Linked DNA regions of Ovis aries. Each later gene encodes a partner of the first gene's protein in a complex. Links are inferred from orthologs where the notes say so. Each region holds a gene or a part of one and is shown in the gene's direction. Other genes may lie near its edges.

Region 1 (6,954 bases):
GCCGCCCTCCTCCCAGCACCCACTTGAGCTCCCCCCACCTCGAGGAGGGTGCCCCATGGAGGAGCCCAGCTGCTAAACAACACAGCCCAGCTGGCCTCCATGCCCCACGAGTGACCGGAAAGAGAGTTGGACTGCTGACCCGAGGCCTCGGTGTTCTCCAACGCTCCACCCCAGCTTCCACTTTCCACCTAAACTCTGTCTTCCATCAGCACTTCTCGTGGGCACCCCCTGGCATCATGCCCCCATGCAGCTGCCACCCTGGGCAGGAACGAGAGCGGCAGCCACTTCCCCGAAGTTCAGGCTCTGCCACCGGCCGGCTGGTTGGAGCAGCATGGAGAGCCTGAGTGGGTGCGCCAGCTGCTCACTGTTGTGTGTGCGGGGTCTCTCTCCATCTGTCCTTTAACTTTGTAAAGTCTGACGCATCACTCATCTGCATCAAGCCTAGGAGGTTTCTCCTGGCACGGAGAGAATTCACTCAGTGACTGGCTGCCCTCAAGACTTTCCTGCCTTCAGAACTGTGCCCGCTCGCCTCCAGCCACGTGGCACCTCCAGTGCCTCAGCCTCTCCAGAGCCTTAGCACCTCCACACCCCTGTCCCCCCACTGCTCCCCTGGCCGGCATCCTCTCACCTCCACACCCCTGTCCCCCCGCTGCTCCCCTGGCCGGCACCCTCTCACCTCCCTGGGGGCCCTCCCTGACTTGTCTTCCAATGTCCCCAGCTCCCTCTGTCCTCTCGCCCTGCTGTATTGTCTCCATCGAGCCATCTGAAAATCTATTTTTTTCTACACTTTGTATTTGTAGTCCTATGTATGTATGTATTTGAGTGGAATGCCTGTCTTAGCCACTAGAATGCAAACTCCAGGGGACAGGAACTCTGTTTTGTTCAACTCTGAATCATTGATGCCTGAAACAAATATGTGCTCCGTGAAATATTTAGATGGGAGTAATACCCAGCCTTAAAAGGGGAGGAAATGTTGATATAGGCAACCACATAGGTGAACCTTGAAGACGTCATGCTGAGTGAGACGAGACAGTCACAAAGGGACAGATTCTGCATGATTCCAATTAAATCAGGTACCTGGGACGGTCAGATGCACGAGATAAGTGGAAGGTGGGAATGGGGAGCTGTTGTTTAGTGAAGGCAGTTTCAGCTTTTCAAGATGGAAAGAGTTCTGGAGATTCGTTGCGCAACAGTGTGAATGTACGTACCACCACCGAGCGGTATACTGAGAAATGGTTGACTTGGTGAATTTCGTTATATGTATCTCACCACAAGTGAAAATAAAATAGCTGATACTTGGATGGGGGGGTGGATGTGTGAACGGACCTATAGTTTCACCCTCCCTCCTAGCTCAGGAATTACCAAATTATCAGAGCTGTCAAGACCCTCAGACATGGTCCTAAATCTTCCAATATACAGCTAGGGAAACTGAGGCCTGGCGAATGGATGGTCCCTTGGTAAGGCCAAGCCAGACAAGGACTGGGCTCTTGGTACCATAGGTGTGGGGTGGCATGGCCCCTGTCGCCAAATTGCGGGCCACACACCCACCTCCTTGCGCTGTGCGGTGGGACCGCCCAGCCCCTGTCCTCCTGGGTCGGGATGATGTCCCAGACCCACCTGGCAGGCCCGGCTGACCTTCCTCCCCTTCCTCTTCCCCTTCCCCGCCCCCTACAGAAGCCCAAGTACCAGGTGCGCTGGAAGATCATCGAGAGCTATGAAGGCAACAGCTACACCTTCATCGACCCCACCCAGCTGCCCTACAATGAGAAGTGGGAGTTCCCCCGGAACAACCTGCAGTTTGGTGAGCCGGGGTCTCTGCACCCCCCACGCCCTCCTGTCACAGGGCCGGAGTGGGTGGCGGGGAGCCTGCGGGCCCTTAGAGGGAGGCCCGTCTGGCACCCCAGGACCTGAGAAGGCTGTGCGTGTGTGTGTGCCAGGTAAGACCCTCGGAGCCGGAGCCTTTGGGAAGGTGGTAGAGGCCACGGCTTTTGGTCTGGGCAAGGAAGATGCTGTCCTGAAGGTGGCTGTGAAGATGCTGAAGTGTGAGTGCAGGAGGGCTCGGGGGTGGGGGAGCGGGTAGGAGGCGGCGGACACCACCGGGACGGTCTGTCCTGTGGTCACGGGGCATCGCCCGCATTTTCGGCCTGTCAGAGCCTGGGATCGGGCGTGAAGCCGCTCTGTTTCCTTTGTGAGCTCCAGGCTCTCTCTTATCCTGGGTGTGGAAGGGCTTCTGACTGAAGCCCAAAGGGGCTGGGATGAGAGGCCGCCCTGGGCTCTGGCTGGGCCCCAGCTTGGCCCAAACCAGTTCAGTGACACGCCACCTCTTCTCTCTCCCCCAACTCTCATCTGTATGCCATTGACTCTGCCTCTTTCGGCTTCTGATTACCGTGGGTGCTCCGGGTGCCCCCTGCTTTGCTCCGTGTCTCCTGTGTGTGGCCCTCCACGTCCTGCCCTTTCTCTGTGGCCCCACCTCCCAGCCACGGCGCACGCTGACGAGAAGGAAGCCCTCATGTCAGAGCTGAAGATCATGAGCCACCTGGGCCAGCACGAGAACATAGTCAACCTCCTGGGAGCCTGTACCCACGGAGGTGAGGGGCCCTGGCAGGCATGGCGGGGCCATGATCTGGAGTGTCTGAGGGCCCCAGGGCCTCACGCCATCCATCTTCCCCTTCCCATCCCCACAAAGTGAAGGTAGGATCCCTGTCTGGGCACCCCTTGAATTCCTAGGCCAGACGCCTGGACTGGTCAGAAGCTGCTTGTGGATGACAGGCAGTTCTGGGAGCTCTGGCCAGTGGCTCTCAGACATGTGGGGACATCAGAGTCACCTGGAAAAGGAGCAAAGAATGCAGATCTCTGGGCCCCACTCCAGAGAGTCTGATGCTGTGGGTCTGGAGTGAGGCCCTTCAAACCTAACTTTAAGCCCCGACTCAAAGAGGCTGGGCACTCACTGCAGGGCCCATAGAAGTGTCCCAGGACCCATGGGGATTCAGCCCACCCCATTCTCTTCTCCTATAGCAACTGTGACTTATATGGAACTGCCTTAGTTTTCCTTTGAAGAAAGAATTCTTCAGCTAGTTTTTTGGAGGGCCCTCTGCTCTAGACAGATGTGGTCACTGAGGCCCAGAAAGCATGGAGGGCTGCTTACAGACAAGCAGGATAAGAACCTGTGACAGAGTCACAGCCCAGGTTCTTATTGCCCTTTCCCCACATTCTTGTCCAGGTGGGGTGGTGGATTAAGGGTGCACTGACCCCACTCTTGTGGCTGCTCTAGGCCCTGTCCTTGTCATCACGGAGTATTGTTGCTATGGTGACCTGCTCAACTTTCTGCGAAGGAAGGCTGAGGCCATGCTGGGACCCAGCCTGAGTCCAGGCCAGGATCCCGAGGCAGGCACCGGCTACAAGAACATCCACTTGGAAAAGAAATACATCCGCAGGTAGTATCCTGGCAAAGGCCCGGACTGGGAGGTGGGGCCCTGTGTCTATTCCCAAAGTCAGCTCAGGGTTGGGTGGCTGTGTGGGCTTCACCTTCCCGCCCGTGCTATGGGGAGTAGCCGCCAGTATTATGTGGGCACTTTAGTTTGTCTCCTACTTATTCCTATTGTCCAAGGAATATTTGATCCCCTACTATGTTCCGGGAGGATAGCGGGCAGAGATAGGCAGCTCACAGTCTGGTGGAGTCAGGTGTTAATGAATCATTTTATCGTGCATATAAGATCTATTTAGGGCCCTAACTAGAGACGGGCAAGTCTTGGGGATAATGGCCCTATTTCTCCCATAGCACCCATCCCAATTTTGAGTAGCCATGGGGAAGCGGGATAGAGTCTGTTCCTTGTTGGATGAGAAGGCATCATCCAACACAAAGTATCACAGCATAGCTGTGGCCAGGTCCTTGGTCCACTTGGGCCTGTTTCCCCAAGAAGCCATCCAGGCTGAGCCTCTGAGTCTCTGCTCTCTCACTCTGAAATGCTGTGATTTCTGGAAGCCACCCAGAGGGAGGGGGACAGAGCCACATGGGGAACCACAGAGAGGAAGTGGCATTTTGTGTCACACATGAGTCAGGGGCAGAGGCGGAGCCTGGTTGGGCCCTGCTGCTGCCACCTCGTCCAGTGCTCACCTAAGCCACGCCGCTCTCCTGCATGCCTTGGACTCAGGGCCTGTGAGGCCTCTGGGCCAGGCTGCTGGGAGCTGCAGCAGGATCAGGAGAGGGTATACACTGAGCTATTTTACCACTGTCAGCTACCCAGCCTGGGAGAAGGGGAAGGAGACCATGCCACTCTATCCAGTGACCTCGAGCACGCAGGCTGGCAGGATCTGCTTCCTCTTCGGAGTTTCTGACACCCTTTGGAGAGGGTGGCTCATGCTGGGCCTCAGCAGGCTGGGAACTCAGGCCAGATCAACTTGAAATGAGAACAGAAGTCAAGTGTTAGCTTCCATTTTCACGATTTCAAGAGCAAGTGGCATGTGGACCAATCCTGCTAATGGGATCCCAGGCTACATTAATAGAAGTATAGTTTCTAGACCACAGGAGAGAATAGTTTTTCGATGGTCAGACCATAAATAAAACACTGGATTGTTTTTCTGGGAACACTAGAGTAAGGACGTCATCACGGTGCACATCTCTATCACAGCAGGGGGCAGGAGGTGAGAGGTCCAGGCTCCTATCTGGTTGAAATATTAGAAGCTACCCAATCTTAACAGCTACCCAGAGCACAAGCTCATGGTCTTCTGAGAGCTGTTAGGAATGTACAATCTAAGGCCCCTCCAGACTTGCAGAGTCTGAACCTGCGTTCAAATAAGATTCTCCAGGTGATTCACACACACATGCATTAGTTTAAGAAGCTCTAGATCAGGCGTCCACTCTGGCTGCACACCAGAATTGCCTAGAGAAAACTGCTAAGTGTGTATCTGGAGCTTCAGGGTGAAGCCAGAAGGGAGAGACACAGTGCAGACAAGTGGACTCAACAGAAGGGGCCCTGGCGTAAGATCAAATCCTTGCTGGGCATTCCAGGAAAGAGGGAGACACTTCTTGAGGGCAGAGCAAGGACCAGGAGGAGGGACAGCCCGGGGCCAGACTAGCATCAGGAACAGTGGAGGACCTTCTAACAGGCAGAGCTGACAAAGACGCAACAAGCTGTAAGCTTCCTTACTGGACGGCCAGGCAGAGGTCGCTGATCACTTGAGAGAGTGGGTCAGAAACTGAAGTCCAAGTTGACTCAGGGCCCTTCCTCTCTGCTGAGTGGCTGGGCGAGGCCTGAGCTGGGCAGCAGAAATAATGGGCCCCTCTCCTATGCAGGGACAGCGGCTTCTCCAGCCAGGGTGTGGACACCTACGTGGAGATGAGACCTGTGTCCACTTCTTCGTCAAATGACTCATTCTCTGAACAAGGTGTGAGGAGGTGCCGGGGCTGAGGGAGAGGAAAGGGGTTGCTGGGGTCAATGCAGGGCAGGGAGGTCAGCGGGGCCATCCTAATGCCTCTACCCGCCCTAGACCTGGACAAGGAGGACGGGCGGCCACTGGAGCTGCGTGACCTGCTCCACTTCTCGAGCCAGGTGGCCCAAGGCATGGCCTTTCTTGCTTCCAAGAATGTAAGTCTCAGAAAATGGGTCCCTCTCTGTGGTCACCCAGGGGGGTGGGGGCAGCTGAACCCGTGAGGCTAGATGGGTGAGGACACGGGAGAGAGAATGGAGTTTGTGAAGGGGGCCATGCTCCTCACAGCACAGACTGGCTCTGCCACTTGCTGTGTGGCTTTGAGCAACTGCCGAACCTCTCCGAGCCCAGGTTTCTACACCTATAAAGACATGCAATCGTAGGATGGCATGAGGGTAAGATAGGGTTACGGTGTGCGCAGATACTTAGGGGAGGGCCAGCCCTGAGGGTGGCAGCCGCTTGTCCTGTTAGCAGCTCCAGACCACCCAGCTTCTGAGGCGGCTCCTGCTGCTCTCAGCCAGAGGGCCAGTCACGGCGGTTTCTCAACACTGCCTGTCTGACCACATGACATTTTCTCCAACTTGGGTCATGGTACTGGAGCCAGGGTACAGGAGCAAATATGACGGCCACTGCCTCATCCGCCAAGCCCTCTGCGGCCCTGGCTGCTGCCCCTGCACCCTGGGGGGCCAGGACTGACCCTCAGTGCCTTCCCAGTGCATCCATCGGGACGTGGCGGCCAGAAACGTGCTGCTGACCAGCGGCCACGTGGCCAAGATTGGGGACTTCGGTCTGGCTCGGGACATCATGAATGACTCCAACTACATCGTTAAGGGCAACGTGAGTGCTGGGAAGGCTGGGGAGGGGTGGCGACCCTGGGCCCAAGGTGACCGGGGTCTGCTGTGCCAGGCTCGCCTGCCCGTGAAGTGGATGGCGCCAGAGAGCATCTTTGACTGCGTCTACACCATTCAGAGTGACGTGTGGTCCTATGGCATCCTGCTCTGGGAGATCTTCTCACTCGGTAAGCTGCTGGCCCGGTCAGGCTCAGCGTGGGGCTGGCTGGTGCTTGGTGACCCATAGCACCTGTACCTCCTGGGGGATGCTGGCCCAGGAGGCTTGGAGGTCAGTGCAGAGCAAGGGCTGCTGAGGGCGCAGGGGTCGGGGAAGCATCTTAAAACCAAGTACTGTGGCTCCCAACGTAGGCTGAGCCCTTCCACCCCGACAGCACTCACTCCAGGTCCAGGCTTTTTCTCGCCTGTCTGCTTGGACAGTTGCTGCTTCCTTGAGTGTCGTTTCCCCTTGTCTGAAATGTGCATGTCCCTGAAGACCCAGCGCCCATCTCTGGGGCACTAAGACAAGTACTCAGGCTCGGCCCGTCAGTGTGCTCCTCCACCGACCAAAGCCTGTGCTGCAATTCTGCGGGTGTAATGAGACCTGGGCGAAGGCTTTCTACATCCTAGAAGTCTATAATAAGCAGGACACCTTTTGCAGCACCTGGCCCGTAGTAAGCGCTTGTTAAGGGGAGCTGCT
Region 2 (7,704 bases), on another chromosome or scaffold:
ATCATGGAAAAAGCAAGAGAGTTCCAGAAAAACATCTATTTCTGTTTTATTGACTATGCCAAAGCCTTTGACTGAGTGGATCACAATAAACTGTGGAAAATTCTGAAAGAGATGGGAATACCAGGCCACCTGACCTGCCTCCTGAGAAACCTGTATGCAGGTCAGGAACCAAAAGTTAGAAGTGGACATGGAACAACAGACTGGTTCCAAATAGGAAAAGGAGTAGGTCAAGGCTGTATATTGTCACCCTACTTATTTTAACTTATATGTAGAGTACATCATGAGAAACGCTAGGCTGGAGGAGCACAAGCTGGAATCAAGATTGCCGGGAGAAATATCAAAAATCTCAGATATGCAGATGACACCACCCTTATGGCAGAAAGTGAAGAGGAACTAAAGAGCCTCTCGAGCAAAGTGAAAGAGGAGAGTGAAAAAGCTCAACATTCAGAAAACTAATATCATGGCATCCAGTCCCCTCACTTCATGGGAAATAGATGGGGAAACAGTGGAAACAGTGGCTGGCTTAATTTTTCTGGTTTCCAAAATCACTGCAGATTGCAGCCATGAAATTAAAAGACGCTTACTCCTTGGAAGGAAAGTTATGACCAACCTATACAGCAAATTAAAAAGCAGAGACATGACTTTGCCAACAAAGGTCTGTCTAGTCAAGGCTATGGTTTTTTCAGTAGTCATGTATGGATGTGAGAGTTGGACTATAAAGAAAGCTGAGCACTGAAGAATTGATGCTTTTGAACTGTGGTGTTGGAGAAGACTCTTGAGAATCCCTTGGACTGCAAGGAGATCCAACCAGTCCATCCTAAAGGAGATCAGTCGTGGGTGTTCATTGGTAGGACTCATGTTGAAGCTGAAACTCCAATACTTTGGCCACCTGCTGCGAAGAGTTGACTCATTAGAAAGACCCTGATGCTGGGCGAGATTAGGGGCAGGAGGAGAAGGGGACAACAGAGGATGAGATGGTTGGATGGTATCACCAACTCAATGGACATGGGTTTGGGTGGACTCCAGGAGTTGGTGATGGACAGGGAGGCCTGGAGTGCTGCAATTCATGGGGTCGCAAAGAGTCGGACATGACCGGGCGACTGAACTAAACTGAACTGAAGAAAACAAGAGGTTTATCTCGGCACATCACTTACTCCAACCTCTTATCAGTCCTAAGAACAAGTGGTGTCAACATGTTATCTATCTTAAATCATTTTGTACTGGGACCACTTGACAATGCCCAGGGGAAGTAAGGCCTTAGCCTCCTTCCTCTGGCTGGGCTCAGGCTCAGGCCTTCCTTCCTCAGGTCTCTGTGCATCCACGGCTGCCCCACGCCCTTTAAGCTCTGACTACTCCCAAACCCATGAAAGCAGAGATATGCCGACATGTCCATCGTCACATTCCCAGGTGTAGCCCAGTGCCCAGCACGTAGTAGCCACATGGTGCACATTTGTCAAATGAATGAATTATTCTCTAATGGCTTCATGTAATTCAGTCACTATCGACTGGGTACCAAGTGTGTGCTGGGCACCTTCAATTTAGAGGTAAACACAAGACAAGCTACAGTTTTTCCAGGAGTCATGTATGGATGTGAGAGATGTACCATAAAGAAAGCTGACCGCCAAAGAATTGATGCTTTTGAACTGTGGTGTTGGAGAAGACTCTTGAGAGTCCCTTGGACTGCAAGGAGATCCAACCAGTCCATTCTAAAGGTAATCAGTCTTGAATATTCATTGGAAGTACTGACACTGAAGCTGAAGCTCCAATACTTGGGACACCTGATGCCAAGAACTGACTCATGGGAAAAGACCCTGATGCTGGGAAAGACTGAAGGCAGGAGGAGAAGGGGACTACAAAGGATGAGAAGGTTGGGTGGCATCACCAATTCGATGGACATGAGTTTGAGCAAACTCTGGGAGATGGTGAAGGACAGGGAAGGCTGGCATGCTGCAGTCCATGGGGTTGCAAAGAATCGGACATGACTGAACTGAACTGAAATACAGGACCAGCTTGGAGGAAGTCTCAGTCACAGTGGGGCTGAAGCTTCAGTCTGATGCTCCAGAATATAGCTATCAGCATCCCTTGAAACACTTTTAGAATACTGTGGACAATGAATGAATGACAATTTATCAGAGAAACTACAGAGAAAGGAGCCAAATTCAGTGAGACCACAGGGACGGGAATCATTGATCTGCCTGAGTAGTCAAAAAAGGCTCTGCTGGTGAAGGATGTGGTCTGACTCCAGCCTTGACAGATGAGGTGTTTGCCTTAAGCACAAGTTGGGAAAGGAGCATTGTAAACAGAGGCACCAGTATTAATAAGAGCAAGCAGTTATAAAATTACTAATAGGGGCTGGAATAAGTGACAGGAGATGCCCCTTCCAGACATGTATTTCCCAGGGGATGGGGATGGGTGGAGCCACAGAGAGACTGAAACATTGAACCCTAGGAACTGAAGAAAGAAAAAGCTCTTGAATTTGACTTTATGATTAACAGGCTCGTCCTATTTAGCCTCATTTAGATTCATTCTCATATAGAGACAAAATGAGCTTAATCATTTCAGTAAATCCATTTTCAAAAGCATCAGGGAACTGTAGGGCTTGGGTGCCAATCTCCCCAGGTCTGAGGCTCAGGAGGGATCCTGGGTTCCAGCCAGCGTTTTCATCACCTGCAGGTCAGGTGTGGGAAGCATCTCCTGGGACACAGCAGAGTGTCCCAGTCCCTGTCACAGGACACAATTCATCCCCTTCTGGTCAGGTAGTAGCCTCTCTGCCTGTACCCTGCCCCCAGAAGAGAAGACAGAGGCTGGACGGGCGCTTTGGGGGCTGCATAAGGAGAGGGCTGCCCCCAAACCTGCTGACTAAGGCTCCACAAGGTGCCACAGCAAGCGCAGTCGGTCTCCAGTGTTCGCCCCTGCTCTCAGGCCATTTCCTGCTCAGATTTGGGAATTTTCAGACCCAGAGGGAAAGTCCCTTGAGACACATATTAGAACGAGAGAGAGAGCGCGCGCACCGGATCCGCCTGGAGAGCGCGGAAGGAAAGACCAGGCTCTGTCCAAAATCCGCGCGCTGGAGGGCGGGAGGCGGCGGAGCCCGCGTTACTTTCTTGAAGGCTTTGGCTTTGAGCGCAGCACACAGGGCGACTGGAAGACAAACGGAGAAGACCGGCCCGCTGGGTGGGGGCGGGGAGGCGTTCAGTGGGCCTCCGGAGTGTGTGTGTCTGTCAGTGCGCCCGCGCCTGTGTGTGTGCGTGTGTGTGTGTGTCTGGCGCCTGTCCAAGGTGATTTCCCATAAAGCACATGCCTCACAAGTCCGCTTAAAAGGCTGTGCCGAGGAGCTGGCCAGTGGAGCCCGGCTCGGGGAAAGTGAAAGTTTGTCTGGGTGCTCCGCGCGCCGCCGCGAGTCCCCCTACACTCCCAGGTCAGCAGCGCGGCCCTCGGCCAGGGCGCGGACTCTGCAGCGGCCAGCGATCAAGACAGCGAGCGGCAGAGCGAGGGCGGCCGACGCGCCCGGCCGGGACCCAGCTGCCCGTATGACCGCGCGGGGCGCCGCCGGGCGCTGCCCTCCCACGGTAAGCGATCGCCGCGGGGCCGGGCCCGGGCCGGGCTGGGACTGGAGCTTGGCGGCGCAGCCGGGCTCCTCGGAGCCCACTGCCCAGCGCGCGCCGACTGCAGAGGCTCTTCCGTCTCCCGGCACCGGGCCCATCTTTGCACGCCGACTGCGCGAGGCCCCTCTTGCGCTGGGGCTGGGACCAGAAGCGGCCCTGCAGCTGCTCCTGGGGCTGCGGCACCTCTTTGGGGAAGGGAAGACTGCTTACCCCATTGCAGGGAGAGGCACACGGAGCCACCTGCGGGCAAAGGAGAAGGGTTTGCAGTCAAGGGACAGAAGCTCCGTCCTAGACTCTCTCCACCGCCAAGGGACAGGCAGAATGGCTGTGCGCCTGAGGGTGGCGCCTGCCCAGTGGGCATTCCACACGGGCCATACGCATGCTTCTAGGTCCTGCTGGGGAGTGGGCGCTTCTGAATGGGGAAAGTTCAGGTGCCATCCAACTTAGAGAATGCAAGGCAGAAGGAAGGAGCTGGGCAAGCCACTACTTGTTCCAGCTCACAGACAGGAGCTGTTGGGCACTTGGGTGGCTGGATCAAGTCCGTTTTGTGGGGGATGGGGGTACCAGAGTTGCCTGGTGCCAGCTCTGGATCTTCCTGCAGATTCAGGTTCAGTCAGTCGGGGAGCTCCTGGGCTTGATGATGGTAAAGGAGGTGGAAGGAAGGTTTGGGGTTGCAGAACTGTGGGCAGGAGCTGCGGGCGGTTCACCACTGCCCTGCTCTAACCATGGGCTGTAGCTGGGGCAGCTGCTAGATGGTGCAGAGTGACTCCATTAATGGACAGTAAGGCAAACCCTGCCAGTGGGTTTGCTTCTGAGGAATTCTAGAGGAGAAACCTGGTGGGGGGTGGGGGGATGGGGGCAGCGAGAGAAGCAGAAAAATATTCCGAGGATAAGGGAGGGAGGTTGCAAGTAGGGTGATAGGGACAAGCCCTTCCATGAGGAGGAAGAGCCAGCTGAAAGAGATGAGATGGGGTTAGGAGGGGAAGTCAGGAAGGGTGAGGTGAGGGCAACAAGACAAATAGGGGCTGGAAGTGAGACGGTGAGGAAAGAAGAGGAAGGTAAGCATGGAAGGAAAGAGGCTGATTTTAGACCCTCAGCCTGAGGGTCCACTCATGCTAAGGTCTCTCCAGGGACCATTTTGCCAGGGAATTTGGGACATGGTGAGAAGCAGGTGAGGATGGGTGGCTGGGCTGAGATGTCTCAGAGTCTCTCTGAGCCTGAAGCAGAGATTCCTAGGGCTGCCCCAGAGGCCAAAGCTGGTGGGTGGGAAGAAGAAAGGAGGGGGGAGAAGAGCCAGCCCAGCCAGACACAAGCTAGAGTGTTAACCCTTGGGTACCTGTGCAGCTCCTCCTCTCAGGCCACGTCAAGGCCCCAGGTGCAGGGGTGGTCCCCTTTGGCCACCTTCAAAGCCAGCCTCCCACATGGTGGCTGTACACTCCCCACACTGATGCTTGAAATAACTGCAGAAGCCAGGCAGCCCTTGGGGTTAAGCATTGCCCCCTCCTGGCTGCCCTCAAACATCAATATCTTAACTCGTCTGTGACAAGGCTATCTTCCTGAGCATCCCCTTCCCCATGGACCCTTTCCTCCAAACCACTGACACCTGAGGCTTGGAGCCTCAGGGGCAACCAGCCTGGGGCAGAGACATACCTTCTGCATGGCCCAGTATCCTCCCGTGGGTCCTGAAGTGCAGGTTCCTGAGGGCTGGCACAGCCATTCCCACCCAGAACTCCCTCTTTAACCACCCAACAGAGCCCAGTGTTCCCTCCATGACTCTTTTCCCTCTTCCACAGTCTGCCTCGCCCAGGTCGGACCAGGACCCTCACCAGACCCTGGTGCTGAACAGCACTGGGCCATCCCGAGCCTCTTTCCTCCAGGCCCCCCTTCCCCCTCCTCTCTCTGCCATCAACTCCCCCCCTACCCCCCCCCACCTCTCTACCCACCCCCCCACCCCCCCATCTTTGAAGGTCTTACTGTGGCTTCTCCTCCCCGCAACCTCCCTGGAGCTCAGCCAGGGCTTCTCCTCCCTGGTAAGAGCTGACAAACATTTTAGGCTTTTAGTTCTATGTAAATCAGCATGTTGTTATGGGCTGCTTCACAGCCTCCAGTGTGCTATTTGTTTGCGCTATTTGTCTCAGCATCTGAATTAAAAGGCAGAGCCCAGAACCCAGGAAGGTACCAGCCTACACCCCACCCTGACAGCATTTCCCCCAATGTGCCAGGAGGCGACATCCAGCTTGGGAGAGACAGCCCAAGAGTCTTTCTTTGCCTCTGGCTGGAGAAGGGGGTACCTAGAGCCAGGGAGAGGGCTAAGGGGACCTTAGCAAGAAGGAGGAAAGTGGAATGACAGGGTGTCAGGAGCTCATCCATCACTCTGGGGACGAGCAGCTACTGGGTCAGGGGGGTGCTGAAAGAGGGGAGAGATCTCAGAAAATGTTCTTGCAATGATAAGAGCTGTCAGGCTGGATGCAGAGCCTGATGGGGCTCCAATAGGTAGGTGCCAGCCAGGGATGGTCTAAAGTTGGCACTGCTGCCTCTGATTAATCAGTTGGGCTCTTCTTGACACAAAGCCCTAGGGCTCCAAAGGTCTGTGATGCGGGATAGGTTCCCAGTGAAACTGAGTTTGGGCCCCTGGTTTTTCCATTAGCAGAGCCAGACACATGCGGAATCAGGTAGGAGGAAGGGCTGGGCCCAGAGAGATGTCTCTGGCTCCAAGTGTGGAAGCCAGCCAGTGTAGGAACATGAACTTGAGAGGAGTGGGCAGCTCCCAAGATGTCTGGCTCAGTGTTTGACGTTGCAGAGTCAGAATAATGGGTAGAAGCAAGTCCTGCATTCGAGGAGTTTCCTATGTGACTGGCATTTAGACTGGCAGGCACAACTCCCATGTCCTCATTAGAAATTCAGTGTAGAGTGGCTTGGCCTGGGTTAATCTGGGAAAGCTTCTTGGAGGAGGTGACATTTGTGTTGTTATCAAGGGAGAGCAGGGTTGTGTGTGGTTCTTAGGAAATCTTGATGAAGGTGACTTTGGGAATGCTGTATTCTGGGATGAGAGGCCGAGCCTGTAGCACTGTAGGTCTGAGGTCCTTGTTTTTCCATCCTCAGCAGGGGAGGGTGGTTCCTGGGGAGTGTGAGAGAGCTGGGGAGAAATGATGCCCTCTCTATCGCAGACATGGCTGGGCCGTCTGCTGCTGCTGGCCTGTCTCCTGGTGAGCAGTGGTGCTACTGAGGAGGTGTCGGAGAACTGTAGCCACATGATTGGGAACGGACACCTGCTGTTCCTGCAGCAGCTGGTGAGTGTGTGGCCCTGACTACCCCAGCTTCTCCCCACTGGGGAAACGGAGGCAGGGAACAGGGCCAAAGAGAGGGGTTGTAGGCAGAGGAGAGGAGAACGGCGGTGCAGGATGTGGCTTGTGGCTCCCACTAGCTCCACAGATGTTCTTCTCATTGACCTTCTAAAGGTCAATGCTTCTGACCCCTCACCCACCCCAATCCTAAAGCCCTCTCCAGCTCTCCTGCAGGCAGGGCACAGGGTAGGCTTCTAGCTGGTTGCCTGGGTTAATGATGGCCTCGAATGTCCATCAAGGACTCTGAAAAGGCTTGTAAAGCCTGCTCCCCCTTGATGGGATGCTTCCCTCGAGGAGCCAGCCCAGTCGGCCTCTGTGTCCAAATGTTGCCTCTAGCTCCTGGACTCCCAGATGTGCCACCAGCCTGGCACCAGGGCCTCAGCCAGATTTGGAAGGGAGACTCCCAGCTGACTCCCGGCCCTATCCCGACACTTCCCTGGCTCTTGCCCGAACCCTGGGGCTGGGATGGCCTGCTCACCCAGGCCTTGAAAGAACCCATGCCTCACCCTCATCAGGCCAGCAGAGATGTCAACAATTCCTAGCATGGTTCAGTTCAGTTCAGTTCAGTCTCTCAGTCGTGTCCAACTCTTTGCGACCCGCCAATTGCAATATACCAGGCCTCCCTGTCCATCACCAACTCCCGGAGTTCACCCAACCGGCAGAATCAGGTTGCTATCATGACTGCTGTCCTGCTCAGAAGAGAATTTGCCACCCCTCTGGCCAGGAAGGCAGGGTGGAACCCCACTGGCTAAGGT

What was found.
Region 2: the proteins of CSF1R (region 1) and CSF1 are in contact, whole or in part, in a crystal structure (PDB 3EJJ), measured with the Mus musculus proteins. The link is inferred for Ovis aries from reciprocal best matches to the Homo sapiens genes CSF1R and CSF1. Residues at the interface, in NP_001032948.2 of Mus musculus: Arg142, Arg146, Leu149, Arg150, Lys151, Lys168, Val169, Leu170, Ser172, Asn173, Val231, Gly232, Phe233, Leu248, Ser250, Asp251, Phe252, Asp254, Asn255, Tyr257, Lys259; in NP_001107002.1 of Mus musculus: His38, His41, Met42, Gly44, Asn45, Gly46, His47, Phe87, Gln90, Asp91, Asp94, Arg98, Asp101, Glu110, Arg111, Gln113, Glu114, Leu115, Asn117.

Annotation. Positions count from the first base shown.
Region 1 is NC_056058.1:59,154,210-59,161,163, reverse strand, and holds part of CSF1R (macrophage colony-stimulating factor 1 receptor), read left to right. Parts: intron 1-1,674; coding exon 1,675-1,801; intron 1,802-1,937; coding exon 1,938-2,042; intron 2,043-2,477; coding exon 2,478-2,588; intron 2,589-3,271; coding exon 3,272-3,434; intron 3,435-5,293; coding exon 5,294-5,385; intron 5,386-5,487; coding exon 5,488-5,585; intron 5,586-6,141; coding exon 6,142-6,264; intron 6,265-6,333; coding exon 6,334-6,445; intron 6,446-6,954. UniProt on the Homo sapiens protein: Tyrosine-protein kinase that acts as a cell-surface receptor for CSF1 and IL34 and plays an essential role in the regulation of survival, proliferation and differentiation of hematopoietic precursor cells, especially mononuclear phagocytes, such as macrophages and monocytes.
Region 2 is NC_056054.1:87,228,295-87,235,998, forward strand, and holds the start of CSF1 (macrophage colony-stimulating factor 1), read left to right. Parts: upstream 1-3,316; 5' UTR 3,317-3,530; coding exon 3,531-3,569; intron 3,570-6,772; coding exon 6,773-6,895; intron 6,896-7,704. UniProt on the Homo sapiens protein: Cytokine that plays an essential role in the regulation of survival, proliferation and differentiation of hematopoietic precursor cells, especially mononuclear phagocytes, such as macrophages and monocytes.